4 linked regions of the Xenopus tropicalis genome follow. The protein of the gene in region 2 interacts with the protein of the main gene of each other region in a pairwise test. Links are inferred from orthologs where the notes say so. Each region holds a gene or a part of one and is shown on either strand. Other genes may lie near its edges. The genes, in order: ing5, nav2, pias2 and rbm15.

What was found.
Region 1: the proteins of nav2 (region 2) and ing5 interact in binary tests that used the Homo sapiens proteins (3 or more experiments, as listed by UniProt). The two-hybrid records come from large-scale screens. The link is inferred for Xenopus tropicalis from reciprocal best matches to the Homo sapiens genes NAV2 and ING5.
Region 3: the proteins of nav2 (region 2) and pias2 interact in binary tests that used the Homo sapiens proteins (3 or more experiments, as listed by UniProt). The two-hybrid records come from large-scale screens. The link is inferred for Xenopus tropicalis from reciprocal best matches to the Homo sapiens genes NAV2 and PIAS2.
Region 4: the proteins of nav2 (region 2) and rbm15 interact in binary tests that used the Homo sapiens proteins (3 or more experiments, as listed by UniProt). The two-hybrid records come from large-scale screens. The link is inferred for Xenopus tropicalis from reciprocal best matches to the Homo sapiens genes NAV2 and RBM15.

Annotation. Positions count from the first base shown.
Region 1 is NC_030681.2:125,709,974-125,714,076, forward strand, and holds part of ing5 (inhibitor of growth protein 5), read right to left. Parts: intron 3,437-4,103; coding exon 3,270-3,436; intron 3,159-3,269; coding exon 3,047-3,158; intron 2,166-3,046; coding exon 2,078-2,165; intron 1,279-2,077; coding exon 1,143-1,278; intron 486-1,142; coding exon 424-485; intron 1-423. UniProt on the Homo sapiens protein: Component of the HBO1 complex, which specifically mediates acetylation of histone H3 at 'Lys-14' (H3K14ac) and, to a lower extent, acetylation of histone H4. Component of the MOZ/MORF complex which has a histone H3 acetyltransferase activity.
Region 2 is NC_030680.2:4,470,703-4,474,805, forward strand, and holds part of nav2 (neuron navigator 2), read left to right. Parts: intron 1-339; coding exon 340-435; intron 436-519; coding exon 520-688; intron 689-1,618; coding exon 1,619-1,854; intron 1,855-2,337; coding exon 2,338-2,492; intron 2,493-2,609; coding exon 2,610-2,681; intron 2,682-2,819; coding exon 2,820-3,016; intron 3,017-3,171; coding exon 3,172-3,290; intron 3,291-4,103. UniProt on the Homo sapiens protein: Possesses 3' to 5' helicase activity and exonuclease activity. Involved in neuronal development, specifically in the development of different sensory organs.
Region 3 is NC_030677.2:206,585,870-206,589,871, forward strand, and holds the end of pias2 (E3 SUMO-protein ligase PIAS2), read left to right. Parts: intron 1-976; coding exon 977-1,116; intron 1,117-1,234; coding exon 1,235-1,272; intron 1,273-2,628; coding exon 2,629-2,811; 3' UTR 2,812-3,138; downstream 3,139-4,002. UniProt on the Homo sapiens protein: Functions as an E3-type small ubiquitin-like modifier (SUMO) ligase, stabilizing the interaction between UBE2I and the substrate, and as a SUMO-tethering factor.
Region 4 is NC_030678.2:72,274,838-72,279,569, forward strand, and holds the start of rbm15 (RNA-binding protein 15), read left to right. Parts: upstream 1-1,749; 5' UTR 1,750-1,841; coding exon 1,842-4,352; 3' UTR 4,353-4,386; intron 4,387-4,732. UniProt on the Homo sapiens protein: RNA-binding protein that acts as a key regulator of N6-methyladenosine (m6A) methylation of RNAs, thereby regulating different processes, such as hematopoietic cell homeostasis, alternative splicing of mRNAs and X chromosome inactivation mediated by Xist RNA.

The sequences.
Region 1 (4,103 bases), on a different chromosome or scaffold from region 2:
CCCAAGACAGTGGGCTGTATCAGTCGGTGGCATCAATAGATGAAAAATGTTTGGTGCACTGGGGAGCAATTCCTATGTTTTTTTTTATTTTTTTTAAATAAAATTTGTCCTTGCATCAAGAAAATTAAAATGAAATGAAAGGAATGAACTAAATTCAGGATTCAGTTAAGGATTCAGAGCTTCAGCAGAACAAAACTGAAACCCTTATCATCATTCTAATATGACATTAAAACTCTTGGTAATTGATGGCTACAAACTTTGTTCACAGGTGTCATTTTCTATTTTTCTCCATTAAAATATGCAAATTATAGTTCAGATTCCTCCACTTTTGCAGAGGATTTAGCATTCATCAGAATCCAAAAATTCTGGATTCAGTGCATTCCTATTTTTAACAAAAATTCAGTTGATACAATAGATACTTACCATTTCCCTTTAGGTTTAGTGGTCAGATCCACACAGGCAAAATGGAACCATTCAATTGGACACTGTGGGCAAATAATTTAGGAAGTAATTACACATTTAGGTGCCTTGGAAAAAAACATACACCCTATTTCCTAGATAATAGAACTGTACTTCTAACCGCCTTGCTTTTACATGCAATATAAGCTTTGGCTATAACACATTCACTTTACATAATCATTAGACTGTCTTAAGAAACCGCAAAAATAAAGGAGAAAAGAATACAATGTGCAATAAAATCAGTAAGCTGTAGCAACTCTCATGCCCTTAGGTCTTTATTAAACAAAGCAGAAACCTATTCTGAAAGGTTTACTTTTTCCATTCCAACCAGTTGAAACATTAATTTACCTTAGTTTCTAGTAGTTATGCTGGTATAGTTTTAAACCTGAGGCTAAAACATTGATGTAACCTGTATTTCCACTTGCACTTTTCTTGAATAAGTGTAGAAATTTATTTCTGAGAATGTTATCCTATTGCAAAAGTGAAGACACTACAGAATAAATCCTCAGATTGTAGCAAGGCAGATCAGCTGAAACTGCTGAACAATCTATTGCTAATTTTTAAGAATATAGACAAAATATTGCATTTTGGATTTGAATTATTCTCTAAATCCAATCATACAGTACACACTTCCAGGCAAGGACACTGATGTATCCATACAATATTCTGAACTTATTACTTACATCTGGATTGTCACAACCAATCATTTCCCCATAGGACACCTGGTGGCAAAGGCAGTATGTGGGTTCATTGGGATCCACTGGCATATCCAAGACATCCGAAGGGGTCACAGACAGGACTGAATCAGCATATACAGGCCTGGCAAATACAAATATATCAGCAAGCCAGCGAGTTAGGTCATGTAAATTACCCATTAAACAGCTTCAGATTAAAAAAACTATAAATGTATTCTGAGACAATTTATTCTTCATTTTTTGCATGGTTTCTGAATTATTTAGCTTTTTGTCAGCAGATATTTGGCTACCAAGGTCCAATCTATTTACAGTAACAACCAGGCAATGGCTGGAATGAGAGACTGAAACATGAAAAGGAGAAGGCCTAAATGTAACATTATAATTGCAGCCTCAAAGGGCAATAGTTGACTGCTGGGGTCAGTGACCCCCTTTTGAGAGCTGGACACACAAGGGGAAGGCAAACTTAAAAAATATATAAAAATGAGCAGCAATTGAACAATTGCTATGGATGGGAAATTCTAAAACATAAAAATGTTAAATGTACTTCACCTTTAAAGTGGTCAGCAGCCTAACTCACACACTTACACAGCTGTACCCTTGCATTTAAACACCCATTAAATCCACAGCTCTTGCAGTCACATTAAAAAATAAGGGAGCAGCAGTTGAAGATACCACTTTTTAGCCCTTATTCAGGACAGTTTGGTGGCCCTATTGATATTACACAATCTATTCCTTTTTGAAAAATGTAATATTTTGGACAATTAACGTGGAAGTTACTATGTAAATGTTTTGTTTAAAGCCACAGCTGCTTGATAAGGGTGCAAAAAAAAATTGTGTATGTGGCATTCAACCTGGAAACTATAAGAGGTCTCACATAGTCTACGCTGTTACTAGAACAGTAACAAACTGATACAATTCCTCACCCTCCTTTCATTTTCTTTTTCTTTACAGTGTCCTCTTCAGATACTCTGCGTCCTCTTGACCCTCGTTTTTCTTTTTGACCTCTATTCTCTTTAAAACAAAAAAGTTATGTTTTTTTAGGATGAATAATTTTGTTTCTCCAATTTTGATGTACTGCTATTTATCTTCCAGAGTACCGTATATAGTCGAATATAAGCCGAGTTTTTGAGCACTAAAAATGTGCTTAAAAAGTAACCCTCGGCTTATACTCAAGTATATACGGTAGTTGCCTATGGATTCGCAGATGCAATGCGCTCCTTGCGTGCAATCCCCCCCCCCCCCCGTGGACGGGCTTGCAGACGCACGCGCAAGGCATCATACGCACCATAGCGTTGCACCATTATGGGACGCGCCGCTGCACCATTAAGGGATCAGCACAGAACCGATGTGACGCGCGTAACATTTCAGGCAATCCTTAGCTTTTGACCTTCAGACAGTCCTTTCACATGTAGGTAAAGTTTGGCACACAAGTTAATTGCACACAGGGGCATGTGCTGCTGCGCTCACGCAGTGTTATTAACTCCGGCTCAGTAAGAACATAGAAGTGGCAGCTGCCAGCCAAACACGCAAGCAGGCAGAGCATCTGATACAGGGAGTGGAACGTATTGGGTGGTGGCGATGTACAATATAAATAACACATTTATAAGGTTTGGTTAGACATGCATTGTCGTTATGGGGCGCATTAAACAGAATACAATATACTTGGATCAATATACTTGGTTCATTGGATGTGCCTGTCACTGGTAAGAAATAAATATGCTAGGAAGCCACAGTATTCTCCCACTTGTGAGTATTTCTGTGGACCTCTATTCATAGTGCACCATGTAAAGGGAGAAGGAGGAATGAGCAAGAGTGGGTCTTCTTGCAGGGATTTTTAAATGTTGAAGGAAAAGATTAGCGAGATTTTTTATACACAACATTTTGTAACTCACTCTTTACTCCACGTCCTGCAGGACTATCAAACTCTGACCCTTCCAGTTTTTCTTTAAGATCAGCCTCAAAGCGGGCCAGATCAGCATCCAGCCTTCGTATATGTTTATCGACCTATTAGACAGACAAATATATTTCAAAATAATAATTTCTACACACAAAAATGACATTATTAAAGTCATGCATGGCATTTGTTATTTATGGATTCATTAAACTGCTGCTCACCATTTCGTAGGTCTGCATGGCCAGTTGCACTTTATCATCACTGTACTCTTTGCATTTGCTATAGGCAGACTGAATTTTTTGAAGGTGCTGTACTCTCTGCTCAGGGGTGTAGTCCCGCACCTTAGCAATATATTCGCTTGCTAAAGCATCAATCTCCTTCTTCTTATCTATTAAAAAAAGCAAAAGGTACAGCTATAGTTAATAGGCAACTTAAACCTCCCAATAACCTTTGGCCCATTACATGGTTTCAATACACAAAGATACTATAAGAGGAGTCTGGTGAAAGTAATGTTCTACCCCACCTGCATCATTTTTGGTGTGAATCCCAGTCTGGCCTACTACTGAATTGCCAGCAATGTACTTGTAAAGAATGGCAGAGCAGTATGAACAAGTGCTAGCAAATAAAGTGTTGTCAGTCAGAATATAAGGTGTTTATATCAAAACAATATGTAATGTCCCTTCTTGGGTCAAAATCTGTCTGAAAATGTAGTGGAACGGCAGTTGGCAAAACTCAAGAAGGACATCAGGCATCACTTTGGTGGAGTAACATGTAGCAGAGTGGTTTGGCTTATGACAGTGGTTTCCCAGTGGCGTAGGCACTTCATGTGCATGCTGACAGGCTGTTTCTGTGCCTGTTAGTGCGAACACAAGGCCAAGTGAAAGGGAGGAGACTTGCCCTTTCCTTGCTGGCATATCTACGCCAGCAGAGAAAGAGTAAGTGCCTTGACCTTAAAGGAGAAAGAAAGGTAAAAACTAAGTAAGCTTTATCAGAAAGGCCTATGTAAATACAACCATAAGCACTCACAAACACTGATAATGATGGTGTTAATATAA
Region 2 (4,103 bases):
CATCTATCTATCTATCTCTATCTATCTATCTGTCATCTATCTATCTCTATCTATCTATCATCTATCTAACTATGAATCTTAGTACTCCCATAGGCGATTGGGTTTAAATAGAACAAACTCTCAGAGTATTACGAGAACACGGGTTACAGACTGGGGAAGAGGTTAAATACTGCCCCCAAGTGGCTTTCTTTGGAATTGCCTCTGAAACAATAAAAATAAAAGAGGGGCAGTTCACCCTTAACTGACTGTTAATATGATGTAGATATTCTGAGACAGTTGCAGTTGGTGCGTGTGTGGGAGCTGCTATGTAACATGTCACATTCTGTACTGGATCCTTAGGACGCCAGACCTCGGCTTTTCCTGATTGGCTGCATCGGTGTGGGCGGTAAAACTAAATGGGACGTCCTGGATGGGGTAGTAAAGAGACTGTTCAAGGTAAGAGCTGAGAGATATCATTCAGCAACACCAGGAAAGCACAGACTGCCGCTCCCCCCACACACTCATTGCTTCTCCCCATAGGAGTACATCATCCACGTCGACCCAGTCACCCAGCTGGGCCTCAACTCCGACAGTGTCCTCGGCTACAGCATCGGTGACATCAAGCGCGTCGGGAACGCCGAGACCCCCGAACTGCTGCCTTGTGGGTATCTGGTCGGGGAGAACAACACCATTTGTGTCACTGTGAGAGGTAAGTGTACCCCCAATCTGTGGGGGTTATAGAGAGCAAGGTCTGTCTTTCTATCATCTGTCTGTCTATCTCTCTATCTATTTATCTATTTATTTATCTATCTATCATCTATCTATCATCTAACTATAAATCTGTCTATCTCTGTCTATTTTTCTATCATCTAACTGAATCTGTCTGTCTATCTATCTATCTGTCTATCATCTATCTATCTATCTATCTCTCTATCTATTTATCTATTTATTTATCTATCTATCATCTAACTATAAATCTGTCTATCTCTGTCTATTTTTCTATCATCTAACTGAATCTGTCTGTCTATCTATCTATCTATCTGTCTATCATCTAACTATGAATCTGTATATCTTAATCTATCTTTCATCTATCTATCTGAATCTATCTATCATCTAACTATGAATCTGTATCTATCTATCTATCTATCTATCTATCTATCTATCTATCTATCTATCTATCATCTATCATCTATCTATTTAACTATCTCTTTCTTCTATCTATCTGTCTATCTATCTATCAATCATCATCTATCATCTATCTATCTATCTATCTATCATCTATCTATGAATCTGTCTGGCATCTATCTATCTTTCAATCATCTATCTATCTATCTATATTTATCTCTATCTTTTATCTATCATCTATCTCTTTCTATCATCTATCTATCTATCTATATTTATCTCTATCTTTTATCTATCATCTATCTCTTTCTATCATCTATCTATCTATCTATATTTATCTCTATCTTTTATCTATCATCTATCTATCATCTATCTATCTATCTATCTATATTTATCTCTATCTTTTATCTATCATCTATCTATCTATCTATATTTATCTCTATCTATCATCTATCTATCTATCTATCTATCTATCTAACTATGAATCTATGTATAATGCTGCCCTGTTCTCCCCCAGGCCTGGCTCAGAGCAGTCTGGATTGCCTGGTGTTTGAGACGCTGACCCCCAAGCCCATATTACAGCGCTACATCTCACTGTTAATGGAGCACAGGAGAATTATCCTGTCTGGACCCAGCGGCACCGGCAAGACCTACCTGGCCAATCGGCTTGCGGAGTACCTGGTTCAGTGGGAGGGGCGGGAGCTGGCCGAGGGGGTCATTGCTACCTTCAATGTAGATCATAAATCCAGCAAGGTAAGAAGCCGCGGCCTCTGAATCTCACGTTTCCCTATTGGTGTATATAACTACGCTGCTCACATCTGATTGGTTAATAGCAGAGAAGGCCTCGTATTCCTATTTAAAGTGTTTCCGGGACTTGTTTTATATTAAATGTGACCCCTGCTGCCCCCCTTAGCTGTTCTGGGCTCTGAATCTCTTGGTACCGCAGAGCCTTGTACTGCCCCCCAGCCAGGCGTAAGAGCTGTACACCAAAACACAGCCCCAGCCAGGCATAAGAGCTGTACCCCAAAACACAGCCCCAGCCAGGCATAAGAGCTGTACCCCAAAACACAGCCCCAGCCAGGCATAAGAGCTGTTCCCCAAAACACAGCCCCACCCAGGCGTAAGAGCTGTACCCCAAAACACAGCCTTGGGGTCTGCAGGCAGATGGATATCCTGCCCCCCCAGTCTCAGTGGGAACAGTTATAATGATCCGGATTGTGATGTTCTGTTTCCCAGGAGCTGCGCCAGTACCTGTCCAACCTGGCCGACCAGTGCAGCAACGAGAACAGCTCGGCCGACACCCCCCTGGTCATTATACTGGACAACCTGCACCATGTCGGCTCCCTGGGAGAGATCTTCAACGGCCTCCTGAACTGCAAATATCAGAAATGGTAAGTGACCCGGGTCCTGCCCTCAGGGGGGCAAGTGGAGAAAGTGGCCTCGGGCGGCCAACGTTACCCGGGGAGGCAGAACTAATGGTCATTTTCATTGTCCTTTATTTATTGCAGCCCGTATATCATCGGCACCATGAACCAAGCCACGTCCTCCACTCCTAACCTGCAGCTGCACCATAACTTCAGGTATTTATTATTCTGCCGTCATGTGATCAGAAACCGCTCTTGGCTGGAGCATTGCTTTGGGGCCCCGCCCCCCATGTTCCAGCCAAGAAGGGTTAATGAAGCCTGGGCGGCCGCTCACCTCTCCTACGTCTCACACAGGTGGGTGCTGTGCGCCAATCACACGGAGCCGGTGAAGGGCTTCCTCGGCCGCTACCTCAGGAGGAAACTCATAGAAACGGAGATCAACTCCCGGACGAGAAACCCAGAACTGGTGAAAATCATCGACTGGATCCCCAAGGTCTGGCAGCACCTCAATAAATTCCTGGAGACGCACAGCTCGTCCGACGTGACCATCGGTGAGAATGGCCCCGCCCTCTTGGAATGCACCCTGCAGTTTGCCCTGAGGGGGATTGAAAAAGGGGGGTTGGGGCAATAATAGATTGCCAAGAGCCCCTAAACTTGACTGGGGGTCCCATTGTGTCCTGACTTTCTGCTTCTGGTTCCACTACAGGCCCACGGTTGTTCCTCTCCTGCCCAATAGATGTGGATGGTTCCAGGGTCTGGTTTACTGATCTGTGGAATTATTCCATTATTCCCTACCTCCTAGAGGCCGTCAGAGAGGGACTGCAGGTGAGAGCCAGATCAATGTTGCACCCAATTAATGTTTCCTTTTCCTCTTCCTGATGTTTCCTGTTTAATCTTTACATTTCCCCTTCCTGATATTTCCTGTTTAATCTTTACATTTCCCCTTCCTGATGTTTCCTGTTAACCATTTCCTTTTCCCCTTCCTAATGTGTCCTGTTCAATGTTTACATTTCCCCTTCCTGATATTTCCTGTTTAATCTTTACATTTCCCCTTCCTGATGTTTCCTGTTAACCATTTCCTTTTCCCCTTCCTAATGTGTCCTGTTCAATGTTTACATTTCCCCTTCCTGATATTTCCTGTTAACCATTTCCTTTTCCCCATCCTAATGTTTCCTGTTTAATGTTTACATTTCCTCTTCCTGATATTTCCTGTTCAAAGTTTACATTTCCTCTTATTGATATTTCCTGTTTAACATTTCCTTTTCCCCTTCCTGATATTTCCTGTGTAACATTTCCTTTTCCCCTTCCTGATATTTCCTCTTCAATGTTTACATTTCCCCTTCCTGATATTTCCTGTTCAAAGTTTACATTTCCCCTTCCTGATATTTCCTGTTCAAAGTTTACATTTCCCCTTCCTGATATTTCCTGTTCAAAGTTTACATTTCCCCTTCCTGATATTTCCTGTTCAAAGTTTACATTTCCCCTTCCTGATATTTCCTGTTCAAAGTTTACATTTTCCCTTCCTGATATTTCCTGTTCAAAGTTTACATTTCCCCTTCCTGATATTTCCTGTTCAAAGTTTACATTTCCCCTTCCTGATATTTCCTGTTCAAAGTTTACATTTCCTCTTCCTGATAT
Region 3 (4,002 bases), on a different chromosome or scaffold from region 2:
AAAGGGATGATTGTATCTATCACTTCTCCAATTCTCCCAATGGGACCCTGGGCAGTAAAGCAGAATATATTACCACTCCCACCCCTTGTATCCAACATATATGGAACCTAGGCCCCTACAGATGCTAGCTTCTTCCTAACAAATCTAGCCTCCTGGGTGCCAGCTCTCCCACACATTAACACATATGAGTGAATTTATAGAGTTGCTGGTCAAACAATGGTAGATTTGTGTAGGTCCTGGAAGCACTGGCAGCTTGGGTAGAGTAAACCCTAATTAAAAAAAGAAACAAGCCTCTGATTGGCTGGAGAGTGAAAATTCAAAATTACCTCCAGCAAAATGAGCCTTCTGCAAAATAAATTCTGCTCTGTGCGGGTCATTTAGGTGGGGAGAGAGGCTCCCTCTGCTGGCAGTGAATATTCTTGCAGGCAGCAGTTTCTAGTTAAGGGTGATTGGGTATTACAGTAGAGCAGGGGTGGTCAATACATTGCGGTCCACCAGTCGATCCCCCGTGGATTTCTGGTGGAGCGCGATGAAGCCGGGGATGCGGAAGTGCTGCGTGAATGCTTATGTATGCAACGCAGTGTACGTACGCATTCACGCAGCGCATCCGCATCCCCCAGGTCTGGCCACCCCTGCAGGAAGTAGAGTTCTGGCTATTATGTTAGACATATACTCACTCCAAGCCTTTATAGATGACATTTTTGCCTAACTATATTAGAAATATTTTTTATTTTACGCAGTCTATTCATTTTGCCCATTTTCATTTTAACACTGAACTGTTCCTTTACACCTCAGGACAAATAAGACTTAGACCTGGGCTAAATGCCCAAAAAGTTGTTTCTGTGATGAAATGTTACCATCTTCATTATTCCTATAAGCCAACAGAATATAAAAAACCACCACCCTGCAAACTGCTGTGTCCTGTTTTGTTATCCTCCTGTGCTGGTAATTATGTTTATTATTTGTCTTGCAAAAGGGTCTTGTCATATCAGCCGTCATCAATAAGAGTCGGAAAAGTCGCTGGCATTGAGTCGGAGCCCATGCATCCCTCCATGGCAGGGTACGCGGACCATTTCCATCACCCGGCCATCGCTGGAATATCCGCAGAGTTACCAGGTACAGCTCTCTGCCGTTATCTGGATATAGAAGCCAAGCTGGTGTGCGTGCATGTTGTACAGCAGCACCCTGGCATCAATGGCTTCTCCTTACATTGCTGTGTTGCTGCTCTTTATAGGTCTGGATTTCCTCTCTCTTGTTTCAATGGATCCTCAGGTAAGTTCTGTTTGCTAAGAACCCCCCTTTCTCTTAGTTCTTTGCAACTGTAAGTTCTATAATCATTTATTTAAAGTGGGGTCTTTCATGCGCAAGTGTAATTGGGAAATAGGGGGGGGAAATATGAGGCCCCCACAAATCACTGCCCCTATACAAGAGCAGTCTTTCAGCCACAGTTGACGGATGGGCTGTGTATAAGCAATGAAGCGGGACAATTGCATGGAATTGGGCTGTGGTTGAGGGGGTCACAGGACAAGACAGGGCAAAAGTCTGTGCCCCTACTGCAGGAATCTGCCCTTGAGAACTGGACTTACCCTTAAAGAAGAACTAAAGATTAAAGTAGTAGGCTACAAATGTTGCACATTATGTTTTGGGCTTCTGTACCAGCCCAAAGCACTCACAGCCCTTTAGCAGGGAAGATCTGTGCCTCTAACAACGCCCCCAGTAGCCCCCCATCTTCTTTTCTGCTGATTCACTGCCATTACTGAACTTAGGGACTGACTGACAATATACTGTGTTTATATAATATAACTGTCACTATACAAGCCTAATAAACATGGCAGCTCAGAAACCAGTGCAGTGATCATCTGTAGCATCAACTTTTGTTGGTTGCTAGGGTCCATTTTAACTTAGCAACCAGGCAGTGGTTTACAACAGAGATAGGAATATGAATAGGAGAGGCCTAAATAGAAAGATAAGTAATATCAATAAAACAGCAATAGTTTTTGGCTACTGGAGGTCAGTAAACTCTATTTGAAAGTTGGAAAGAATCAGGAACGAATTCTAAAACTATAAAAAAAAAAAAATTAAGACCAACTGAAACATTGCTAAGAATAGACAATTCTATAAGGTGAACCACGCCTTTAATGATTTGTGATGATCCAGCAGATATTTGGTTGCTAGGGTCTTATTTTCCTTAGCACCCAGGCAGTGGGTTGAATGAGAGCTGAAATATGAATAGGAGAGGGCTGGAATAGAAAGGTAAGTAATAAAAAGTAACCAACTTTCCTAGAAAAATAGTTTTTGGCTTCTTGGGTCAGTGACCCCCATTTGAAAGCTGAAGAGAAAGGCAAATCATTCAACTATACAAAATAAAAAATGAAGACCAATTGAAAAGTTGCTGAGAATTGCCCATTCTATAAAAAATATATATACAAATTAAAAGTTAACGTAAAGGTGAACCACCCCTTTAAAGGCCTAGATCATTACAGGTCCGTGGACCCTATGGGCTGGCACAGTAAATGTAGGATATAAAATACAGCCCATAAAGGCTTTAGTTCTCCTTTATAACCGCCATTGTTCAGGCCATGACTGCTGCGTTTCGTTGCTGTTCTCACGCCGACTGTTTATTTCAAGCAGTACTATCCCCCTATGTTTTTGGATAGTCTCACCTCGGCAATGCCAACAAGCCACGTAACTGGCAAGCCTCGAACCTGGAGCAGCCGCCATGAAAGCCACTCGAGCGAGGAGAACGACTTGCCACCGAGTCCGAACGCTTCTAGAGAGTTCCAGCACATTCACATGCCTCCAGATTCGTGACAGCAACGCCCCCCCTTATTTATTCATTGACCCCCAGTGTGCTGGGAGAGACTTGGTGGAGAAAAGGACCTTTTTTTTTTTTTTTTTTTTTTATTGGTGAACTGCTGAACCAAGCACGCAAATATAAATGGCACTAGTACCGGGTCCCTCCGGATCTGCAGTTTTGTTTGATGTTTTGCAGGATGCATATGCACAGGTCTGTAAATACTTTGCTCTTCTACCCAGAAGGAAAAATGTATATATGTATTTTTATAAATAAAGACCAGGTCTGAACACTGGGCTTCTCTGGTATCCCGAGATGTAAAGAGAAGATATGCCCTGCTCCCAGCTTCTTGTAAGGGGTGTTTTTTTTTTTTCTTCCTGTATATCAGTGATCCCCAACCAGTGGCTCAGGGGTAACATGTTGCTCCCCAACCCCTTGGATGTTGCTCTCAGTGCCCCCAAACCAGGGAGTTATTTTTGAATTCCTGACTTGGTGGCAAGTTTTGGTTGGATAAAAACAAGATTTCCTACCAAATAAAGCCCCCTGTAAGCTGATAGTGTGCATAGAGGCCCCTAATAGCCAATCACAGCCCTTATTTGGCTCCTCCATTAACTTTTATGGTGCTTGTGTTGCTCCCCAAGTCTTTTTACATTTGACTGTGGCTCACGAGTAAGAAAGGTTGGGGATCCCTGCTGTATATTAACCCTATCCCTGCCAGGAACTGGTCCACTACACGCCCATCAGCACAGTAACAATGACAAGCATCACCTTTACCCCTCCCCTCTACAGCCGGATTTCATAGGAAATAATTTGGCAGCAGTAGAAGAGATTTTTTTTTTTCTTTTTTTAGAAAACGTTTTACTTACCCTATAGGTACCCGAGGGTCACAACCCTATAGCTGCCACCATAGGCACGGGCCCTATATGGTAAATATGCCCCTGCCTAGCAACAGAGGAAGTGGAAGATGTTACAATTACAATAGCTATCTGGTTGCTAGGGCCTTGTTTGCTTTAGTAACCAGGCAGTGGGTTGATTGAGAGACCGAAATATGATTAGGAGAGGGCTGGATTAGAAAGATAAGTAATAAAAAGTAACACTAGGTAGGCACGGGCCAATGAGTTTCTATATGGTAAATACACCCCTGCCTGGCAACAGAGAAAGTGACATACTGCCGCTAACATAATACAGGTATGGGACCTGTTATCCAG
Region 4 (4,732 bases), on a different chromosome or scaffold from region 2:
TGTGTGTTCAAAGGCTATTTGGCTCCACCTCCAAAAACCTCATCAAAGTGCAATCCATGTCAAAATGTATTTTTCAACAATTCTTGCATTATGTGATGCATCCATTGCCCACATTTGCATATTAAATAAGGGCTCCATTAAATTCTGTGTCACCTTACATAGCTGTAGGACCAACAATAAAGGCCATAATAAATAATAAAGTTCATAAAATATTAGAAAAATCCATTAAAACAATTATCTGTTAAAAGAATATTTTAAACAGGATACTGCCCTCAACAGGTCTATGCAGGGGACCCAAACATGTTTATTAAACATTTAACCCATTCAATTAGCTCCTACATCACTTAATTTATATCAATACCTGAAAACAAAAAAATGCTTGAACACATCCAGTAGAAGCTCCATATTCATCACTCATCTAAAAAGAAAAGAAGGATATGTCATCATAATATTCTAAAGTTCCATATTTCACATACAAGTATGGGACCCGTTATCCAGAAGGCTTGGGACCTGGGGTTTTCCAGATAAGCAGTCTTTCCGCAGAGAAAAAGGAAGCCATTTTTGGCATTCCCTTAATTCTGAACTTTCTGGATAATGGGTTTCTGAATAAGGGGTCCGATACCTGTACTTGATAGTTTTTGTTATCTATTTTGCCTCGCTTTGTAATATTGTGTTCAGTGCCTCACCTAATGAGTCACTTATTGGTGGGCATAAATTAAAAAAAATCTGGGAAATAACCTTTTTACGAGGTTCATGGTTTAAATAGGTTATTGGGATCTGGAGCTATATTCTCCTACATTCTGAACACATTGCCACTGTTCACATTTAATAAAGGGATCAATGCCCAAAACATTTTGTGTACAATCACATAAAAGTATCTGCAAGGCTTGAATTCTAGAATAAAGTACGCTGGAAAATTTGTTTTGAAAATTGCACTTTGCACATAACACGGTATTAATAAATGTACCTTATAGAACATTGTGTTAAAATGTTAAAGAGGTTACCAAAGGTCTACAATCTATATATCCCTGTATAGTAACAATACTGCATTAGGATTGTTTGACAATAACAGCAAAGGAAATACCAGTAAGATATGTTTGAGTGAAACACAAACATGAAATAGTGTATTAATAATCTGTAGGGGTGGTACTACAAAGGGAAACAGACTAGAGATTCAAAGGGCCTAGAATGGTCCTTACAAAAAAACAATTTTAATTACCCAATTTAGCATATGTTTAATAGTTCTAAAATGAATTTGTTGTGGGGACCAGTAACAACTAATTACACCACTAATAATGTGTAAAAAAAAAATCTACTTTTAACTGAAACGACGTTCTCGGCTTAAAATCACTTGAACAATTATGCACCTCCTATCCAGCAGCCTAGTAACCTGCAAAAGTATATAGAATCGATTCTACTGGGTTGTTTAAAACGCTTTGCATCTGATATGCCAATGTTGTCTCTTTCCAACGTTCCTCTTTACATTTCACTGAAATTTTACAAAAGTAAAATTGATATGAAACAAATGAAACCTTAGAAACCATTGTAGCACAAAAGATTTCACGCGTGAAAGGATGGATCGAAGCTTTAATAAACCTGCAACGTAGCCATTAGCCAACCCATAACGCCCCGTGGGAAACGCAGAGAAATAGCGGAAGTGACGTGCCCAAAGACCACCCCATCCTATGCGATCTTGTAAGAATGACTGCAGAGCTATCCAATAGAATTTTAAGAAAGCCAGAAAGTACCCAATCGCTATTCAGGGCGGTCAATTAGGCGAAACCGCTGCAAAATGGCGGAGTGTAGTTGTGTGTGAAGACACTATCATCCCGTAACTCGCCATGAAGGGAAAAGAGCGCTCCCCGGCCAAGGCCAAACGGTCCCGGGGGGCGGAGGAATCAACTCGCGAGAGAAGCGGAAAAAAACTGAGCTCCGGTGGAGGCAGTAACGGATCATCGGGAAAGACATCTGAAAGCAGCACAGGCCGCCGGAGCCTGCATGTGGAAAAGGCTATTTCCTCGAGCCGCGACTATGATCAATCGAGCAGAGCCCAGGGCTTGCATCGCTACGGCTCCCCCGGGGCAAGCAGTGGCAGTAGCAGCAGTAAAGGTGGCGCTGAGAGCCGAGGCGGCGGCGGCCGGGCTACAGAGAGCCGTGCAGAGCCAGAATACTACAAATCCTTGCGGATAAGCGAGCTGGGCTCCTCGCTAAGTGACGAGGCAATAGAGGATGGACTTTTCCATGAATTCAAAAAATTCGGAGACGTAAGTGTGAAAATCTCTCGCGAGGGGGACGAGCGTGTGGCCTTAGTGAATTTCAGGCGCGCCCTGGATGCCCGAGCCGCTAAGCACGCCCGCGGGAGGCTTGTCCTTTACGACAGACCCCTCAAGATTGAGGCTGTTTATTTGAATGTCGGCGGTACTAACCGGAGGCGCAGCCGCAGCCCTGGGGAGAAAGACTCGTATGGCGGACTCGCCGCCGCTGTTTCCACACTAGCCACACACAGGCACCCTCACGGCCAGCGCGCACTCTCCCCCGGCGGCCTGGGCTACAGAGACTATAGGCTGCAGCAGCTGGCTCTGGGGCGCCTCCCACCGGCTCCGGCAGCTCTACCCAGGGAGCTGGACAGGGAACGGGAATACAGCCTTTATGATAGCCGGCTAAGGTCTACCTACACAGTAGATCCCCGACTGAACTTTAGAGACGAAGACCTTGCTTTAGAGATTGATGCCAGAGCTAATCGTACACTCTTTGTTGGAAATCTGGATGTCGTTGTCAAGGAGAGTGAAATTTATAGGGTCTTTGGACGTTTTGGAACTATTACAGAAGTAGATATAAAACGAGCTGGTCGTGGGCAGCAAACGACCTATGGTTTCATAAAGTTTGAAAACCTTGACATGGCTCACAGGGCAAAGGTTGCAATGTCCGGCAAGATGCTTCGTAGTCATGCTTTAAAGATCGGCTATGGGAAAGTAGTACCAACAAACCGCCTTTGGGTGGGGGGTCTGGGACCTTGGGTACCAGTAACTGCATTGGCCCGGGAATTTGATAGATTTGGCACCATCCGTCAAATTGATTACCGCAAGGGGGAAAACTGGGCGTATATACAATATGAAAGTCTGGATGCTGCCCAAGCTGCCTGTACCCAGATGAGAGGCTTCCCTATGGGGGGTGACCATAGAAGACTTCGTGTGGATTTTGCAGAAGCAGATGTTCGTTTTCCACATCCTTATGTTCAGCCATTACCCATCCCTTATATTGATTTTGGAGAGGAGACACCAGGACATCGGACTAGTGAAGCCAGCAGAGCCAGAGATCGTTCACCACCTTTAATATTCAGGGACAGGGAAAGAGATGCTTATACAAACAATGATTGGGTGTCACCTCCTGCCAGAGACAGACACAGAGTCACTAGTGAATCTCTTGAAACAATAGAACGACGTGCAGATAATTGGGCTTTAGACAGAGACCGTGAAAGAGATGAAGTGAACAGAGATCAGCCCAGGAAAAGGAGACTGGATGATAGCCGTCACCTAGACAGATCACCAGAGAGTGACCGCTCTAGAAAGAGACACTGTGTCACTCCTGAACGTAGCCCTGAAGGCAGTGGAGGTCGAGACAACCGTTACAATGACTCTGATCGAGTAGCATGCCGCTCCTCACCTTCTAGAGATTGGAAGGGAAGCCTGGAGCGGGGTCAAGAAGACAAACATGATAGAAAAAACTCAGTTGAAAGAGAAAGAAGGCATCGTGTACCTGCAAATAAAAGCCCTTTAAAAAAGGATGAGCATCCAGAGGGCAACAGCAAAGTGAAACCTCCACAAAAATCAGAAGCAGCACACAAGCTGTGTCTGGCTTGGCAAGGTATGCTGCTGCTTAAGAACAGCAATTTTCCATCCAATATGCACCTTTTGCAAGGAGATCTTGGAGTTGCATCCAGCTTGCTGGTTGAGGGACCTTCAGGAGGAAAGGTGGCACAGCTAAAAATTACACAGCGCCTACGACTTGACCAGCCAAAGTTGGATGAAGTTACTCGACGCATCAGAGTGGCAGGGCCTAATGGCTATGCCATCCTACTTGCCATTCCTGGTACTTCCGAGGGTTCATCAGTGGACCAAGCCAGTTCAACACAACGACCCCTAAGAAACCTGGTGTCCTACTTAAAACAAAAACAAGCCGCAGGTGTTATCAGCCTGCCCGTTGGGAGCAATAAAGACAAAGATCATGCAGGAGTTCTTCATGCTTTTCCTCCCTGTAATTTTTCCCAGCAGTTTCTTGATGCTGAAGCAAAAGCCCTTGTGAAGTCTGATGATGACTACCTTATAATGATTATAGTTCGTGGGGCATCCTAGGTCCATGTTTGTATTTCTGTCTACTATTCACAAGGTATTATGGGATACAGTATAACTTTTAGTTTTTTTTTTTTTTGTAATCGCAAGTTCAGTCTTTGTATTGCAGTTTTTGATCTGCTTAGCAAAAGCATTTATGTAATTAAACAGGACCGGACCATATTCAAGTGTTGACGTTTCCTGCCTATTTCCCATTTTCTTTAAATTATATTCTCTTAGCATAGGTAATCACAATCTTCTGATTTTGGCAACTTCTTGAATTTTTTTAAGTGTGAGATTTCTGCTAATTTTTGAATACATTACTTCTTAAATTTGGTTCCCAAACTGTCACTGGACTGTAACACCAAAAATGTTCTCATGTGATGCTGTCCAGCAACAATTGG